2 linked regions of the Saccharomyces cerevisiae S288C genome follow. The gene in region 1 interacts genetically with each later gene. Each region holds a gene or a part of one and is shown on either strand. Other genes may lie near its edges.

Region 1 (4,312 bases):
TAAAAAATAGTGTCACTTTAAGTTATCAGGAAAATTAGAAGATTTTTAAAATTAAATATTAATAATTAAAGAATTAGTGGTTAAACGTTATTAGATTGTTTGGAATTAAAAGAAAAAAATTCTAGATTGATTAAAAATAACCAGAATAAGCTATTAGTTTTGAGTAAAAAAGGGTTTTTAGAAAAAAAATTATGGTAAGTTCTTAGGACTTCTTGTCTATGTTAAAGTATCCAAAGATAAATAGATAGTTTTTTTCGGGTTGGAATATTACTGTTATTTGCTGACACAATCTTGACACTTGATTATATAATCGTAAATGAGAAAAGGTTAATAACAAATATCGAAGAAAACAAGAGAAGAAAAGGGCGGAAAACCATAACTAACACACTGTCTTACATGTAAACCGAATAAGTTCGGTTCTTTATATATCTTTTCGGTAAGCTTCCAGTAATTGAAAGGATCATGAATAAGCAACAACCCGATGAGGAATCATCCCGATCTAACATTGAAATTTTCTAGGGGTTTTACTAACTAATCTGATTGGAAAGCACAATTATCCAGTGAACTACTAAGATGACGAAATTATTCGTTTACACAGAAATAGTGAAAGGCATTTTTGCTTTTACAAGAGGCTATTTTTTTTTTTCTTCATGCTTCTTAAAGGGATTCATGCATTGGACCGGAGAAAAGTCCGCAGAACGACCACTCGAGGGTAAGAAAAAAACAGCTCAGATTTCCTATTTGAGGCAAATTATGCGGAAATTGAAGAATCGAAAATCACGGAAGTGGTACCAAAATCGGTAGGTTGTTTTCAATTTACCCTTTTTTTCCATTCCCTCATTTAGAACCCATAGCGAGGTCGAAATATCCCTTAGCCATTGGTGTGATGTCTATAGTTATTTCCCTCAGTCAACCCAAAGCAAGATTTACATTGTGTTAACGTATGCCGTGATATGAACAAACACACCGGCCTACATAGCTAAGTTAATCAAAGAAGGTGTAGATAAACTAGGTTACATAACTGCCTATTGGCAAGCTTTCTTGCTATCTTAACAGCAAAGCTCTTAAGTCGTGATCTTCTCTTCTGATTCTCTTCCGATGGCATATAGATTTGAAGACGACAAGGAAAGCTAAGCAACTTCCTAGTTTTCGTCTAAAAAAACCGAAGGTTTTTCCGGTGATTTTCGGAAACATGCAGAAGAGTCCTTAGAAATCTTAGGTAAATTCACTCGGCATGTCTGCTAAAGATCGGTCTAGGCCATGCGCGTAAAACGGGAAAGGGTTCGCTCAATGGCAGATGCTGCCATACGAGGACACAACCAAGATGAGGCCTCCCAAAGCGGTACTCGCGTTAAGAAAGAAGGGCTTTGGAGGCAACCGGGTAGGGTGTCTTCTTTGTAAAGTTTGTCTAATGTTGGAGAATGGTTGCCACCCGGGGAAGAAAACTGCTCAGGGCGGATAACAGGAAAATAACATGTTGCGTGCACTTGTTTCCGTTGAAGGGAGATGGAAAGACTACTTAAAACAAAGTAAAGAAAAACATCTCAAAAATATTGAGAGAAAATGTGGTCCAGGAACCAAAGATGGTATACTATTTTGCTTTAGTTTATTTTTGCCTTCTTGTTTAATTATTACTCAATTGGTATATGTAATTGAGTAAATATACAAATTGTAGCTTGTGTTTTTGTTTTTCACAAATGACATCGGTATGTATTTTTCAACATATCTTCGCCATTTCTGTGAGCTATTCCGAACACCGCTTGAAACGATTTGTATTTTGCACAATCGTCATCGAAGTTCAAAAGTCAATTGCTTTTCCTAATAGAGTTAAAAGTCGGTCTACGAAAGTAAAATGTATACTCAGTAAGAGCGGTCTTTGTCTACAGTTCTCCAAAGTGGTAGTTATATCGGGAATGGGTAAATGCATTACACAACAACAAGGAGTTCTAAAAGAGTAACTGTGAACGCCAAAGGAAAAGATATAAAAAAAGTATGTCCCTTTTTAATACCTTTTTCGTTAAGCCGCTACAGCTACCTCTTGACTAACTGAGAAGCTGAATGGATAAGGAACAAAATCGTACGTAAATTTTCTCATCCATTTTACTTGGTCAACAGATTCTATAATTGTAAAGCTGTAGCTTGCACTTGATTTTGTTCCTAGAAATGCATTCAAAATTATTTAATGGTCGCCAAGAACAGCTAGGTGAAAGTTTACCCGGTCGGGCTTTAAGGGGAAGCCAATGCTTATTCAAAGCATATGGACATATATGAAGATGTCCTGTAAGATTCTTAGATTAAGTTTATATGCATTGAGCAACTAGACACTTTTCGTAAAATGAGTAGTGTTGGCGATTTTGAAGAAATTATTTTGCATGATTTAAAACCTTATTATCACGTTCCCGGTGCCATACATAGTGAAGGAATAACCTTCGTTAAGGAAACCGGTACACTGTTGTGGGTTGATATTTTTAAAGGAGAGGTTCATAAAGTCGAAGACATAGAACAGCCTGAATCCAGTCATTCTTTTTTTTCCATTAGTAGAGCCAATTATGGCAAGAATGCGTCAATTGAGTACCCTCCCAATCCAGATGAATTAAAAGAATCCGTGGGCTGTATATTTCCAATACTTGATGGGGCTTCACAAAATGAAATCAAACAAGTATTATTTGGTAGTAAATTTGGCATAGGAAAATTGGATTTTAGCAAAAGTGAATGGGAATATGTCATTTTGTATTCCGAATGTCCTGAATTGAGTACAGACAGAGCATATAAGTTGAGATCTAATGATGGGAACGTTTCGCCAGATGGAAAATATATTTATGTGGGGCTAATGAGCGATTTTCCATTTGATTTGGAACCTATTGGGTGTTTGCTTCGTGTTGACCTATTAGCTCACAAGATAGAGCTTGTTTGGAATTGCTTGTTAATTCCTAACGCGATCCACTGGGATGAAAGTGATCAAAAGACGATGTACGTGACTGATTCTTTAAACTTCACTATTTGGAAATGTCCTGGTGGCGACTTGCTAAAACGTGACGAGTTAATTGACGTGAAGAACTCCAACAATCAATCTTTTGAGTCTCCTGAACCAGATGGAAGTGCAATTTGGTTTAGCAAAGACGGAAAACATTCTGGGTTTCTGTTTATCACTGTCTGGTCCACCAGTAAGGTTCAAATGTTCGATTTAACTAACGGAAAATTGCTGAAGGAGTTCATTTTGCCGGAGCAGACACCAAGAGTTTCATGTTGTTGTTTTGTTGGTAAAGATCTCTTCGTGACCACTGCCAATGCAGAAATCAACGATGCTGTAAGAACCAATACTGACAAGAATGGTGGCTGCATCTACAAAATTCCAAACGTGCTAGACGGAAATGTTCCTCTGGAATCTACAAAGCGACAACCTCTCCACTAGGTGTATATACATATGTTTATATATATGCAGCATACGTATCCAGCGCATGTAACTAGCGTCATATGACACCGCTTATGGGCAAATTGAAGCGAAGCTCCCAAACTTGTCCTTATACATCGAATAATAGCCGTTCCATTTTGGTTGCCTAGTTATAAGGAGGGAACACCTAAGGGGCGGACAATCAAAAATACATAAAAGAGCGGAAAAGAAAAGAAATAAAAAGAAACCACATTTTATATCACACTTTTCTCGAGAAACATCGAACATCAAGACCTCCAGCATACTACTCACTATTATAAGCACATACTACGCCACATAGATAATGCCGAAAGTCGCTATTTTGATTTATTCAGTGGACGATATAATTGCCACATTAGCAGAAAATGAAAAAAAAGGTATAGAGATAGCTGGTGGTGAGGCTGAGATTTTCCAAGTGCCAGACGTCAGCTATAAAACTGAATATGCGACAGAAGAGGGAAAAGAGGCAGCCAAAGTCGCCAAAACTAATGCAGATTTTTCCTATAAAATCCTAACAAGAGAAACGTTGGTTGAGTACGATTACTACTTATTCGGAATACCTACTAAGTTTGGAAACTTCCCCGCGGAGTGGAAAAGCTTTTGGGACTCGAATACTGGTGGGCTTTGGGCAAAGGGTTCTCTCCATGGCAAAATTGCCGGTTTGTTTGTTTCAGGCGCAATAAGCGGCAAGGGTGATACAGAAATGTGTATCATGAACGCAATGAGTACTCTGGTCCATCATGGTGTCATTTATGTCCCATTGGGGTATAAGAACGCATACAAGGAATTGACCGACGTTGAAGATGTGAACGGGTCTTGCGCCTGGGGCGCAGGATGTGTTTCTGGAATCGACGGTGGCAGACCTCCCAGTTTATCCGAGCT
Region 2 (4,611 bases), on another chromosome or scaffold:
ATGACAAATACAACTAATGGTAATAAGAGATTAAAGTATGAAAAAGATGCAAAACGAAATGCAAAAGATGGCGGTATATCCAAGGGGGAGAACGCACATAATTTCCAGAATGATACCAAAAAAAACATGTCCACCAGCAATCTGTTTCCATTTTCGTTTAGTAATACAGACCTTACTGCGCTGTTCACCCATCCTGAAGGACCGAATTGTACGAATACTAATAATGGCAACGTGGATGTGTGTAACAGAGCTTCTACAGATGCCACGGATGCCAATATAGAGAACTTAAGCTTTTTAAATATGGCACCATTCTTACAGACCGGTAACTCCAATATAGGTCAAAACACGATTGAGAATAAGCCTATGCACATGGATGCGATATTCAGTCTACCAAGTAATTTAGATCTAATGAAGGATAATATGGACTCTAAACCGGAACAATTAGAACCCGTTATTAAGCAAAACCCTGAGAATTCAAAAAACAACCAATTTCATCAGAAAGGAAAAAGTACGAATATGGAAAAGAATAATCTCTCTTTCAACAACAAGAGTAACTACAGCCTAACAAAGCTAATGAGATTGCTGAACAACGATAATTCTTTCTCGAATATTAGTATTAACAACTTTTTATACCAAAATGATCAGAACTCCGCGTCAGCGGATCCGGGAACAAATAAAAAAGCCGTTACAAATGCAGGTGCCAACTTCAAACCACCTTCAACTGGCAGTAATACCAGCCAAGGCAGTATCCTTGGAAGTACAAAGCATGGAATGGACAACTGTGATTTCAACGATTTAGGTAATTTTAACAATTTCATGACAAATGTCAATTATTCTGGGGTCGACTATGATTACATTGTAGATGCATCACTTGGGTTGGCTCCTTTATTAGTGGATACGCCCGATATCTCAAATACCAACACGACGTCTACTACGTCAAATCGAAGTAAAAACAGCATCATCCTAGATACGACATTTAACGATGACTTGGATCGGTCACGCATGAATGCCAGAGAAGTATTGAATCCTACCGACTCAATTTTAAGTCAAGGGATGGTATCCTCCGTAAGTACGAGAAATACCAGCAATCAAAGATCTCTTTCATCGGGCAATGATTCAAAAGGTGACAGTAGTTCTCAAGAGAACTCAAAGAGTGCAACTGGCAACCAGTTGGATACACCTTCTACACTGTTTCAAATGAGAAGGACCTCTTCAGGGCCCTCGGCGTCCCACCGTGGTCCAAGACGGCCTCAGAAAAATCGTTACAATACAGATCGATCAAAAAGTTCTGGTGGCGGAAGTTCCAACACAGATAATGTATCTGATTTATTCCAATGGCAAAACGCCAAATAATTCTTTATTTCATAGTGTAATATATTCAAAACGGAATCCTCTAAATATTCATGAAACAAATAACATTCTTACGTATAATTTCTTAATAGGGCAATTGCCGTAGCTTTCGTTCACCTTATGAACAGCCAAATTTATTGTTGGAAAAAAGAAAAGATAACAAAGACGACGCCAAAACACATCTTGATGCAGCGCCCATGTTCCTCAGATTTATTAATGGAACTACATTTCAGATTAGGAAATTTTTTTGCTAGTTCCCATGGTTACGTTACCGGAGGACCATCTGACAGCGCGGAGGCTGCACGGAAGGGAAGAGAAGGCAACAGGGGTGCGCATAAATAGCGCCGACAATGCGACGCCAAAAACGTGGCTCGTATATTGATTAAGTAAAATCTTTATTTTTCCTACACAAATGTCCGTAGAACGCGTAAACTTTTTTTGCTTTGTTATAGGAGTTTTATTTATGAGATAACAATGGCATGACGAAGATTATGCTATAGTATTGCCATGGTTACGAACTAAATTTTCTTTCATATCAGTTTTTCGAGGAAATACTCAGAGACATTTGGCTTGGACAAAAATAGGTATATAAGGCAATGGAAATAGATCTTTTAACCATGGCTAGTTCTGGAAACCAATCTAAGCACACCAAACATACAACTCAAAGATCTGATTGGAAATGTTTTCAATCTTCAAAAAGAAAACGAGCGTGCAGGGCACGGACTCTGAGATAGATGAGAAAATTACAGTGAAAGCAAAAGATAAAGTAGTGGTTTCCACAGAAGATGAAGAGGTGACAACAATTGTTTCTTCAACCAAATCAACTCAAGTGACCAATGACTCACCATGGCAGGACCCCACTTACTTCAGTTCCTTTGGGAAAGAATTAATGTTCATAGCGACATGCATGTTGGCACAGTTATTGAATCAAGCGGGCCAAACACACGCTCTCTGTATAATGAACGTTCTTTCGAAATCCTTTAATTCAGAAGCAAACAATCAGGCATGGTTGATGGCATCTTTTCCCTTGGCTGCTGGGTCGTTCATCCTTATTAGTGGGAGGTTAGGAGATATTTATGGATTGAAGAAAATGTTGATCGTTGGTTATGTCATCGTAATCGTTTGGTCTATAATTTCTGGTCTCTCCAAATACTCTAATAGCGACGCGTTTTTCATTACGAGCCGTGCGTTCCAAGGAGTTGGAATTGCGTTTATTTTACCAAATATTATGGGGCTTGTTGGTCATGTTTATAAGGTCGGTTCATTCAGGAAGAACATTGTTATTAGTTTCATCGGCGCATGTGCTCCAACAGGCGGCATGTTTGGTGGATTATTCGGGGGGTTAATTGTCACTGAAGACCCCAATCAGTGGCCTTGGGTATTTTATGCCTTTGGTATTGCAACGTTTCTAAGTTTATTAATGGCATGGTACTCCATCCCAAACAACGTTCCCACAAATATTCATGGGCTTTCGATGGATTGGACTGGGTCCGCGCTTGCCATTATCGGGCTGATTCTTTTCAACTTTGTCTGGAATCAAGCACCAATAGTTGGCTGGGACAAACCTTATATCATTGTTCTTTTGATAATATCTGTGATATTCTTGGTTGCTTTTTTTGTTTACGAAAGTAAATACGCAGAGGTTCCTCTTCTACCACGTGCAATGACGAAGAACCGTCATATGATTATGATATTATTGGCGGTATTCCTGGGATGGGGGTCGTTTGGTATTTGGACATTCTATTATGTTTCCTTCCAACTAAATTTGAGGCATTACAGTCCTGTTTGGACCGGAGGTACGTATTTCGTTTTCGTAATTTTCGGATCCATGGCTGCATTCTTCGTTGCCTTTTCTATCAAGAGATTAGGACCAGCTCTACTACTATGTTTTTCACTAATGGCATTTGACGCTGGTTCCATAATGTTTAGTGTATTGCCAGTGGAACAAAGCTATTGGAAGTTGAACTTTGCGATGCAGGCTATCTTATGTTTTGGTATGGACCTGTCCTTCCCGGCATCATCCATTATATTGAGTGACGGGCTTCCAATGCAGTATCAAGGTATGGCTGGATCATTAGTAAACACCGTTATTAATTATTCAGCGTCTCTATGTTTAGGTATGGGAGGCACTGTTGAACACCAAATTAATAAAAGCGGCAATGATTTGTTGAAAGGTTACCGAGCAGCTGTATATCTGGGAGTTGGGCTCGCTTCTCTTGGTGTTGTGATTAGTGTGACTTACATGCTTGAAAACCTTTGGAATCGACACAGAAAATCTGAAGATAGAAGTTTGGAGGCATAAACTAGTTAAATGTATATTGATATAAGTGTAGGTACAAACAACAAATATAATGGCATTCTTTAAGTCGCTTGGTCTTAATGTATAGGTTAAAATAGTATCAAAATTTTGTAACTATATTCATTTCATCTGGTCTAAACCATTCACGTCTCAGCACATTCCAAGTCAATTTCGCCAAGAAAGAGGCTCTTTGTTCTTCATTTGCGCAAGCTTCAATATATACTTTAAGTTTTGGTTCTGTTCCGGACCCGCGAATAGTGAAGCGGATATGCTCATTCTCACTACCGTTACTTGGTCTAGCAGATACTGTTATCATTTGTGATGTAGGATCGACGGGTAGAGTAGGTTTATGATTTATGGTATCCGATTGGTAACCAGTGGTTAAATCTCGATAGTAAAGTACTTCGATTTCTTCACCAATAGATGAAGGATATGACGCGCCCTCAGGAGTGTAGACATTCCTGATGTAGTCAAATATATCTTTTGTAACAGTTGGATTTGGAACGACATAATAGCCATTGTACTCTTTGAACACGCCATATTTTTTGAAGCCATTTTCTAAGACATTTAGCGGGTCCAAATTGTGGTCTATTTTCCACTTACAGTAGGCTTGCAAGAAGACAATGGATGCACTGATACCATCCTTATCATGCTCCATTGCTGGAAACATGTAGCCTATTGCTTCCTCGAATCCAAAAGGAACGTAATAGCCTTTCTTTTCCAAGAGTATGGCACGATTTCCGATCCACTTAAATCCTGTTAATGTATCCTCATAATGGAACCCTTCTATTTCTGCCATTTTTTTTATCATTTGTGAAGACACTGTTGAATTTAACATAGCCAACGGATGAACGTGCTGAAATTCTTTGTCCATACTTTTATATTTCTGATATTCATAAAATGCAAAAAGAAAACCGATTTCGTTACCTGTTAGTTGTCGCCATTCGCCTGACTGCATATCT

Evidence for each region. Genes that interact genetically often act in the same process or in processes that back each other up.
Region 2: mutations in YBR053C (region 1) and ATR2 together harm fitness more than expected from each alone (negative genetic interaction), as found in Saccharomyces cerevisiae (one large-scale study listed by BioGRID).

Annotation. Positions count from the first base shown.
Region 1 is NC_001134.8:338,775-343,086, reverse strand, and holds YBR053C (regucalcin), read left to right. Parts: upstream 1-2,335; coding exon 2,336-3,412; downstream 3,413-4,312. Other genes in the region: RFS1 (flavodoxin-like fold family protein), read left to right, coding at 3,735-4,312.
Region 2 is NC_001145.3:823,770-828,380, reverse strand, and holds ATR2 (Atr2p), read left to right. Parts: upstream 1-2,029; coding exon 2,030-3,652; downstream 3,653-4,611. Other genes in the region: DNA-binding transcription factor CAT8, read left to right, coding at 1-1,353; phosphoribomutase PRM15, read right to left, coding at 3,750-4,611.